Nothobranchius furzeri: one gene and its partner. The protein of the gene in region 2 interacts with the protein of the main gene of each other region in a pairwise test. Links are inferred from orthologs where the notes say so. Each region holds a gene or a part of one and is shown on either strand. Other genes may lie near its edges.

The links. The genes of interacting proteins can lie anywhere in the genome.
Region 1: the proteins of segment polarity protein dishevelled homolog DVL-3 (region 2) and csnk1da interact in binary tests that used the Homo sapiens proteins (3 or more experiments, as listed by UniProt). The two-hybrid records come from large-scale screens. The link is inferred for Nothobranchius furzeri from reciprocal best matches to the Homo sapiens genes DVL3 and CSNK1D.

What each region holds. Positions count from the first base shown.
Region 1 is NC_091758.1:11,453,868-11,458,136, reverse strand, and holds the start of csnk1da (casein kinase I), read right to left. Parts: upstream 2,926-4,269; 5' UTR 2,695-2,925; coding exon 2,619-2,694; intron 1-2,618. UniProt on the Homo sapiens protein: Essential serine/threonine-protein kinase that regulates diverse cellular growth and survival processes including Wnt signaling, DNA repair and circadian rhythms. It can phosphorylate a large number of proteins.
Region 2 is NC_091751.1:58,288,116-58,292,518, reverse strand, and holds the start of segment polarity protein dishevelled homolog DVL-3, read left to right. Parts: upstream 1-1,470; 5' UTR 1,471-1,691; coding exon 1,692-1,852; intron 1,853-3,051; coding exon 3,052-3,121; intron 3,122-4,403. UniProt on the Homo sapiens protein: Involved in the signal transduction pathway mediated by multiple Wnt genes.

The DNA.
Region 1 (4,269 bases), on a different chromosome or scaffold from region 2:
CTGGTTAGGCTTAAACGAGTGAAAACAAGGTCTACAGCCCTTGAGTCATAAACTTTGAGCAACTATACTGATCTTTTTATTCTAGGAATCAGGAATAACTTTTATGATCTGGTTTCTTTCTTTTTCTTCTTTGTCCCGATTGTGCCCTGAGCAATTTTATGAACAAATAACAAATAAAATCAATCAACATTAAATAATCGAGACCTCAAGTTCAGTCACAATAATCGTGATTATCATTTTTGCCATAATTGAACAGCCCTACTCTTTAGTGTTTAATGTTTTTGACGTCTTGTCTATGCAGAGCTTCTGTAGTTCAGTTGCGTCCATAGCTGCTAGCCAAACCTCAGTGGAGTTAAAGTCTCTTGTGTTTTCTGGATTTATTAAAATATCTGTCTGTACTTTTTTGATTGATGGCAGTTTTTGCTTTTTATTAGACTCCAAAAGTAATCATTTAGCATGTTCCTAAATTATAATTTGTAAGAATGTAATCAGTGATATTATCAATAGCATCCCGTAGGGTTTTTCAATGTATATTAGCAATGTGCTAACCACTCTCTGCCAGTCAAATCGCAGCCTTTGCGATTAGAAAATCTTTTTTGTCACATCACAATTTAATTGCATATAATTTCCCTACTTCAAACTAGAAGCTAATGATGGGTATATTAGAGCATCCTGGACTAATCATCAACAAAACTGATGATTAGTCGACTATTTAGTCATTTGTGGCAGCCCTACAGAAGACGACGTGAAAACATTACCACTGCTGCTGCATTGAAATTCACTAGTCTCTGGAGCTGGTCAAAACAAAGACATTCACTTTAAGTGTTCGCATATTTTGTACGTAAATGCTATTGCATGTTTGTAGTGTATTCTCCATTGATTAAATAAACATTCTGCAAGTAATTCAAGTTTCCCTGTTGTTGTCCTTTCTCTTAAAGGATACCCAAACTTTTGAGCGTTTGTGCCACTTAGAGGCCATTCTTCCTTCCCAGTAAAGCCTGACTCCGGTTTCACACTGCAAGTATCAGCGGAACGGAACAGCAGCGGAGCGGCTCACTCGCGAACTTTAAAGCGGTCCTTTTCACACCGGGAGAGTCTTGGTCGCGGCACGGCTTCCTCGCTGTGCCTCGTTGTACCCGCGAGATTCTAAAATCCCTCAAGACTTCCGACACCTTCCTCATCGAGAGATCACAACCCCTGCGAAGAATCGCACCGTTGCACTCCTCGAAAGAAACTGGTGGTAAACAAAGCTGTTCGGTCACACTTACTGACGTAAGTTATATATAACATTGTAACGTTGCATTTTATTTTGAAAATAACCGGGTATTTTACACTGAAACCGTGTGGTTTCCTGTCTCGCACTATGTGAACTGCGGGAATTGACGTGTCCCAGAAGTGGCTCCCGGAACAAATAGAACTCGATGTTGTCCTGGCAGAGAATTGCTTTGCAACACCCCTTGGGCAAACGGGGAAGTATGACAGTAAAACGCTTCTATCAATCCGTGCATGTCTGTCCCTTGTGGAGCTGACGCAGAAGCATGACTCAGGCTTAAACGCGTAGCTCGTTTAAGCTACACAACATGAGTGGTGATGTAATTTGCGCCAAATGGAATTGATAATGGAATCGTATGCAAAAATGGCAAATGATTCCAAGGAACTGCAACTGTGGGAACCAGTTCTCAACAAGAACCGGTTTTCAATTCCCAACCCTAGTATTTACCATCTTGTACTTGGACGTAGAAATGTATATATATCTCTGACCATGTGTATGAGCAGTATCAAGTAGTAAAACGGTCACTTTTAAAGGTATTGGTCATCGACACACGTTCATCCACAAATTGCTTTCACCTAATAAGTAATTATATCTGTGGAGTAAAAGCTTCATCACATAACTGGTGTTAAAACCTATAAAAGACACCTTGCTTCCATCAGTGTCCCCATGACAGCTGTGGCTGCTATGTAGCTCATCATCAACAGTGTGAAAGGGTGTGTCATGCCTTGGGGATTGTAGAAAGCGCTATATATAAATAAAGGACATTTATTCTTTGGAACTATTATGAATATAACTCAAGAATAAACGTAAGTATGCTTTGATTCAATGTAGGCATTTTATTTTTCTGGTTATGCTTTAGTTGTAGTGAACTATGAATGGATCACCTTCATCTTTGCTTTAAAGCAGCCAACCTGCATTAATTGTCTACAGTCTGTATTTCTCTGTATGAGCTGCCTTAACGAGTGGATTTTCCCACTGTGGGATCAATAAAGTATATCCTAATGTATTCTACTCCCTTATACTTCACCGTCAGTAAATGGGTAAATATAACAAACTCTCACCCAGTAAAAATGCAAGTGTTTCTGAAACCACGGTCTGGTCGGTCATTTTGCTCACAGACTAACGTCGTTTACAAGGAAAAAAGAAACAGGAACTTAAACATAGCCTTTAGCTTCACAGCTAGCGTCAGTTTCGTTGTTTTACACAGTATTCATTATTACGACGCTCACAAAAGACAACTGCTACCAAAGTCGAGCACAATTAAACTCGATTAAACTTTACAATAGCCGGCCTTTATCCTCTTTTAATGCCGAAGTGAACAGAAAGAAACGTGAAAATTACATACCCAAGTAGATGTCTCCAAATGATCCACTTCCAATTTTTCTGCCCAGCCTGTATCGGTTTCCGACTCTCAACTCCATGTTGACAAAATCTGACAGGCTAGCAACTACACTCGTTAGCTCCAATATTTGTAACAAAACTAATTTGTTCAAACGCAACACAATATTAAAAAAATATGAATCCAAAATCCTGTTTTAGCGATATATTTCGTCTTCTCAGGATTTGTGGGCTTCTTTTTCGCCTCCTTTTTCACAATATTATTAACATTATCTATAAACAATACGATGCTTGTCGGAAAGGTCAGCGCTTGTTCTTTCTGCTCCTGCTATTGTTAAAAACCAGTACGCGTTTATTTTACACGGATGAAGCTGGATTTCGAAGCTAGGTACCAGCTCCGGTACTCTGGCTTACAGATACTAGCTTAGAGCTTGCTAGGCAATTTATCGGAGGAGTTTGACGTCACTTCCTGGCAAGATGAGCGGAGAGGAATCCACCAGAGAGCATGTTAGTGAAGATACACCTATTAGTAACGTTTTGTTCCTTTGTTTGTACGGTTTGTGCAGATTAAATGTAGCAATATGAAAAGCGTAAAATAACGATAAAGCTTTTTGTATTGCAAATACAACACTCAAACATTTTTAATAGCTACTAGAACATTACCTCTGTTCTTGTTTACTGATAGAGACCAATCTTCACTAAATCATTGTGTCTGGTCAGTCACAACAAAAGATTGTTTCCTTTGTCCTCTTGGCCTCTGCCCATCATGCACTGTCCATCTCGCATGAACTTGTAAAAACTCAAATAAAATTAGGCAAGACCTAGATAGTTGTGAAATAACACCAGAAAATCTTGCCTGAATTAATGTTGAACGTTGTTGAATGTAAAAAGTTAAAACCGTAAAAAATGTCCAAGAAATTCTGCAATGGAAAAACGGCTCAGGTCAGCTTAGTTTAAGTTGTTTTTCCAAGTTAAGCTGAGATACGGCTACATGGGTGCACACCAGTCGTGTGCACATGCCCCATGCAATCTCACCCAACATAAAGTAGCGAAAAATGATCTGTAAACAGCGTAAGGGGGTCTGTATGCCACACATGGATGCTTGCTTTCCTCTTAGGTTGCTTATGAAATTATATTATGACATAGTATCTTATTTACACTATTTTATTTTCTCCTAACTTAAAAGTTATTATGCAGAGCTGTTTATAAAGTGTAGTGCTTAATTTAGATTAAGCTATAGAATGTCTATTATAGACTTTGACATTATCAGAACCATACTTTTGGTGTCAAATATAGCACTAGTCTACGTGTAGCACTGATTTTAGATGCACCCTTACAAGGGTGTCTTGTAAAATAAACTCCTTCACCCACAGCTACTGTTGTTATGAGAAGCTGCTAGATTGAACCTTGAAGTTAGAAAAACAAATTCCCAGACTTTCAGAGGGTCATCTGACTTCTGGGAGCGTTCCAGCTAATTGTTCCTACTCTGAAGTTAGAATATTCGAGTCCCCCAATGGAACACACCAATTGACTCCCTGTTGGTTTTAATATAATATAATATAATATAATATAATATAATATAATATAATATAATATAATATAATATAATTTTAAATATATTACAAGGACAATGTCCTTCCTTGGTCAAAGAAAATGGT
Region 2 (4,403 bases):
TCACTGCAGCCTCAGATCTTCATCAGTAAAGTTTTAAATTCAGAAATAACAGATTGTATTTACTCCATTTTGTACACTATCTCTCCAGTGGGAAAACTCCACCAGTTAATATTATTTACTTTTTGTCTCTGTGCTTTGTGTTGTCTGTAATGGCAAATCAAAGTTCATTCAATAAAATCAATTGTGGTTGCTTGCTGTACATATTAAAATGTGACCTCAGGAGTTTCTATAGCTGAGTTTTCAAACATTATTCCCGCAATATATTGAAAACGATTTTAGAATTCATTAAATTCAGTTTATTTTTCCAACGCCAAAACAAGAGTCATCTCAAGGCACGTTACAATCTGTGACTATTTGGTAAACAACTGCAAAAAAGCTGGAAATGAGTTTTTCTTTTACAATGTTTTGTATATTAGAAGGTCAGAGGTCAATCAAAGATGGTTGTGACCCAAGTGGTCTTACAGGTGCATTATGTATAAATGAGGTTAAAAATGACATCCTGTGGTAAAATTTGGTTACAGCAATCACTTTAAACAACTGGAGCTTTATTATTCCGGCCGCCGCCAAATTGCAATTGTTAACGCTGCAGTATTGGCTCACGAGAGACATAGCAACCCCACACTCACTGATGGTAAACAGTAGTTATGTCCCTCCAGTTGTCTTGAAAGGAGAAAAACTGACAATCCCCACAGCTGGATATTAAATATGTTTCAGTAGAACCTTTCAAAATGACAGAAATAAACTCTTGGGATTTTCTTACTGTAAAAATCTCACTATATTCTTACACACTGCACCTTTGAGTAGTTTGGCTTGAAAAAAATGCCTCAAATTTCGAGCATTTGTTACAAACGTGTGAATGTTTTACAACAGTGTTAATTACTGCCACCTAGGATTGACTGGTTAGTGTTTGTTGTTAGCTTCAAGGGCAACCTGCTGGCTTCATTATCACTTGCAAGTCGCTTTGGACAAAGCGTCTGCTAAATACATAAACAATATTCAGAGGTTGCATACTTACGTTATGATTTTGTATTTAAAAAATAGAAATGTTGTGACCATTTTAAATCATAGTCTACCCTTAAAGCTTAGATTGGATGAACTTCGTTTTTATTATACATAAACTGCAAGTGAAACAATATATTTTATTACCATTTATTTTGAGGCTGCCAGTTGATGTTCGCCTCATTTGCCCTGCAGTTTTCCTCCTCTCCTCTAGGTGGCGCTAATCTCAGATGGGGTTAGAGTCATCCTTTTCTGTTTTTTTTTTTTTACTGTTTCGTGTCCAACTAAAAAGTACCGAGGTTGGCAGGCAGTTACCGAGAAGTCAAAGAGCCCTCCTGATAATGTTTATCTTGCAGGATTTTAAAAGTTTTTTTTCTACTTTTTAAACATCTCTACGGCATACTAAATGTTTTACACAAACAGGATTAAACGCAATTCTTACTTCGGATAGTGTTGGGACGCTTTGTGGAAGGGAAAGGTTTTTTCTTTCAGCAGAGGAAAAACGGGCGTACAGTGAGCTGCCATAAAAAGCAGAATAAGGGTTTAGCAACGAGTTGGTGAGCCAGAAAGATTTGGGAGAACCACGGCCGAGCCGCCACCATCGCCACGGGGAGTTGGGGCCCGAGAGGGAGCCTGTCAGGCCCTCGGCTTGATGCACCCAGCCTGCCTTACCAAAACAACCACAGTCCGAGATGGGGGAAACCAAAATTATCTACCACCTCGACGACCAGGAGACGCCGTATCTTGTGAAGCTGCCTGTTCCGGCGGACAAAGTCACTCTCGCAGACTTCAAAAATGTTCTCAAGAAACCAAATTACAAATTCTTCTTCAAATCTATGGACGATGATTTTGGGTAAATGTTAAATGGATTGTACGTTCCCGGGATGGATCCGCATTAGCATTCTTCAGTTTTCAGAACGATTTTGCGAAAAAATGACTGCTAACGTGCAGGTTTCATCGTTCGGCTTTCTTTTATTGTTTTGTATTTTTACATTAGCTGGTTGTCGGTTATTAGCTAGCTTCTTGCACTGCCGTTTCTTTGTTAGCTGCTAGCAAGCAGCGGATCTGCTCAGCTTCAGCCCTCGTTTGTTTACACTGCCTGTGTAGCTTGCTTGTGACACTCGGTTTGCCTGACCAAGTTTGGTATTGGTGACGTGTGCACCAGTGTCGTGTATCGGTTGACTTTTTGAACCTCATGCAGATCACCCGAAGACAGCGATGGTTAAGACTAGTAAATATTATTAGTTACTGGTGGCAACATCAGGCTGTCAGCTGCGTAAGCTAAAGGGCTGCTGAACGGTCATTTGAGGCTGAGCAGCAGGCCGCTGCTGCTGTTGTTGTCTATTAGCCAGAGGAATGTGGAGCTGGACGCAGGAATGTCCCGTTCATCACTCTGGCAGCTTTATGAGAACGTCCTTTTGTGTTTAAACATGGCCCCAAAAGTAGACGGGTTGTGTCTCCAGATAGCTCTTTTCAAGAAGAACCAAACGTGGTATTTTACTTTCTTTAACCACTCATGCCAGCTTTTCTACATTGCCTCCGTCTGAATAAAATCTAGGGTGGGGCAATAAACTGGGACTATTTGCATTTAAGAGAAAACTAAAACTGCTGTTTATTTTGTAACAAATGGAAAAGTGCTGAAATTAGGCCGGTCAGGTGATCCTGTTTTCGAAGACAGATTCACCAAACATCGATATATTACCTCAGATATAGTGGTGGTATAATATTTATTGGGAGAGTACTTGATTACTGAATTCCCTAATGCTTAAACCAGGTTTCTTGTTTTAGTAGGGTTTTCTAGTCTTGGTTGCCTCAAACATGCAGATTTTTTTTTGTTTTTCCGCCTGCTCTGATATTTTAGTGTCCGTTTTTGCAGAACCCTGTCTGTTATTCCCAAACACACTTAGCATGGCCTTTCAGTGTGTAATAGTTGTGTACTTAGTGCACCTGTAAAACAGCAAATGTTGTCCCAGTTGTGTGATGGGCACTTCCAATACAGAATGCTTTTGTGTTGGCAGCAATTTGCTGACAGAAGCTTTGTTCTCATTGCAGGGTGGTAAAGGAAGAAATATCTGACGACAACGCTAGGCTGCCCTGTTTTAATGGACGTGTGGTGTCATGGGTATGTTCGGAATGCATCTGAAACTCCTTTTGTATGTTTACATTCTTATTATTTCCACAAAACTGCGTTAAGTTCTATTTGCATCATTAGATCATCAACCATGATGATGCATCATTTGTAGGGAGTTTCCTCACTCATCTAGGTAATAAAGTCCGTTTCGTGAATCGATCCACTGCAGCAGATGCAAACATTCCTTTAAATACATTGGGTTGATGACTCAAAAGCTTTTAGAAGTGATCCAACAAGCTAGTCACCGTGTGTTAAGCAATAATTCTCCCATTTCAATCATAAGAGACATCTATTAGTGGTTCGTATCTTCCATTCCTCTCTCCTTAAATTGGATTAAAAGCAAGTGAAATCACAGGATAGCAAGAAGCTGCTCGGTGAGATCGGGTCTCACTGTTGTTGCCTAACAAGAAGATTGAATCGCTCACGGACAGAATGAAGTTTAAAAGACTGTCTTTGTGTCTTGATGTGGAGGTTTGATGCATTTTTCCTAATTCTTTGTGGTGTGGTTATAATTAAAGGTTTTATGTAAGCATCATCATTATTACTGGCTGTTTGCATGTTAGTCTCACTCAAACCTGGTGTTTTCCCTTGTTATGATGATGTCTTCTAGGTGGTTAGTTGTTTGGGTTAAAAGACACTTCCTCTGTGGGGAATGAGTTTTTGTACCCCACCCAGATTGAAGACGTTTGCCACATGCAGTGATACGTGGCTTCTGCCACAGGTTTTTGTTTGTTTTCACTGCTCACCTGTTGTTTCAGTGCTCTGATCGGTGGCCCTCTGGGATCCTGTTGCCTGATAGGAACACATCAGCGCATCAGGCCAGACTCTAAATCTGGCAGCGCTGTGCTTTACTGTCACCTGAGCTGTTTTTGTTCATCTAATTGTTTACACCTCACCTGAACAACGAGTAAACTTATTAAGACTCAAATTCTAGAAATAATCGCTGTAGAGGTCAGAGATCTAGAAAAAGGATCTTTTCTGTCGAAATTTCTCGCTAAAATTTAACTGTTTGACTTTGTTGACAGAAAGACTTCCACACGGCATAACCTTTGTTGTTGTTTACATTCCCTAACCTCATCAGACTCACTTGCCAGCCGGATACATCACTCTTTGTTTTTCTGATTTTATTAAAAAAAAAAAACATAAAGGAAAAAAAATGAAATCTCTGTTGTCAAACCAAGTACGTAACGACCTGTAAAAGTGCAAATATTGTAAAAGTGAATTTATTTGTATCAGACATCTTTACAGTTGGTACAATCTGTTGGGCGTAATG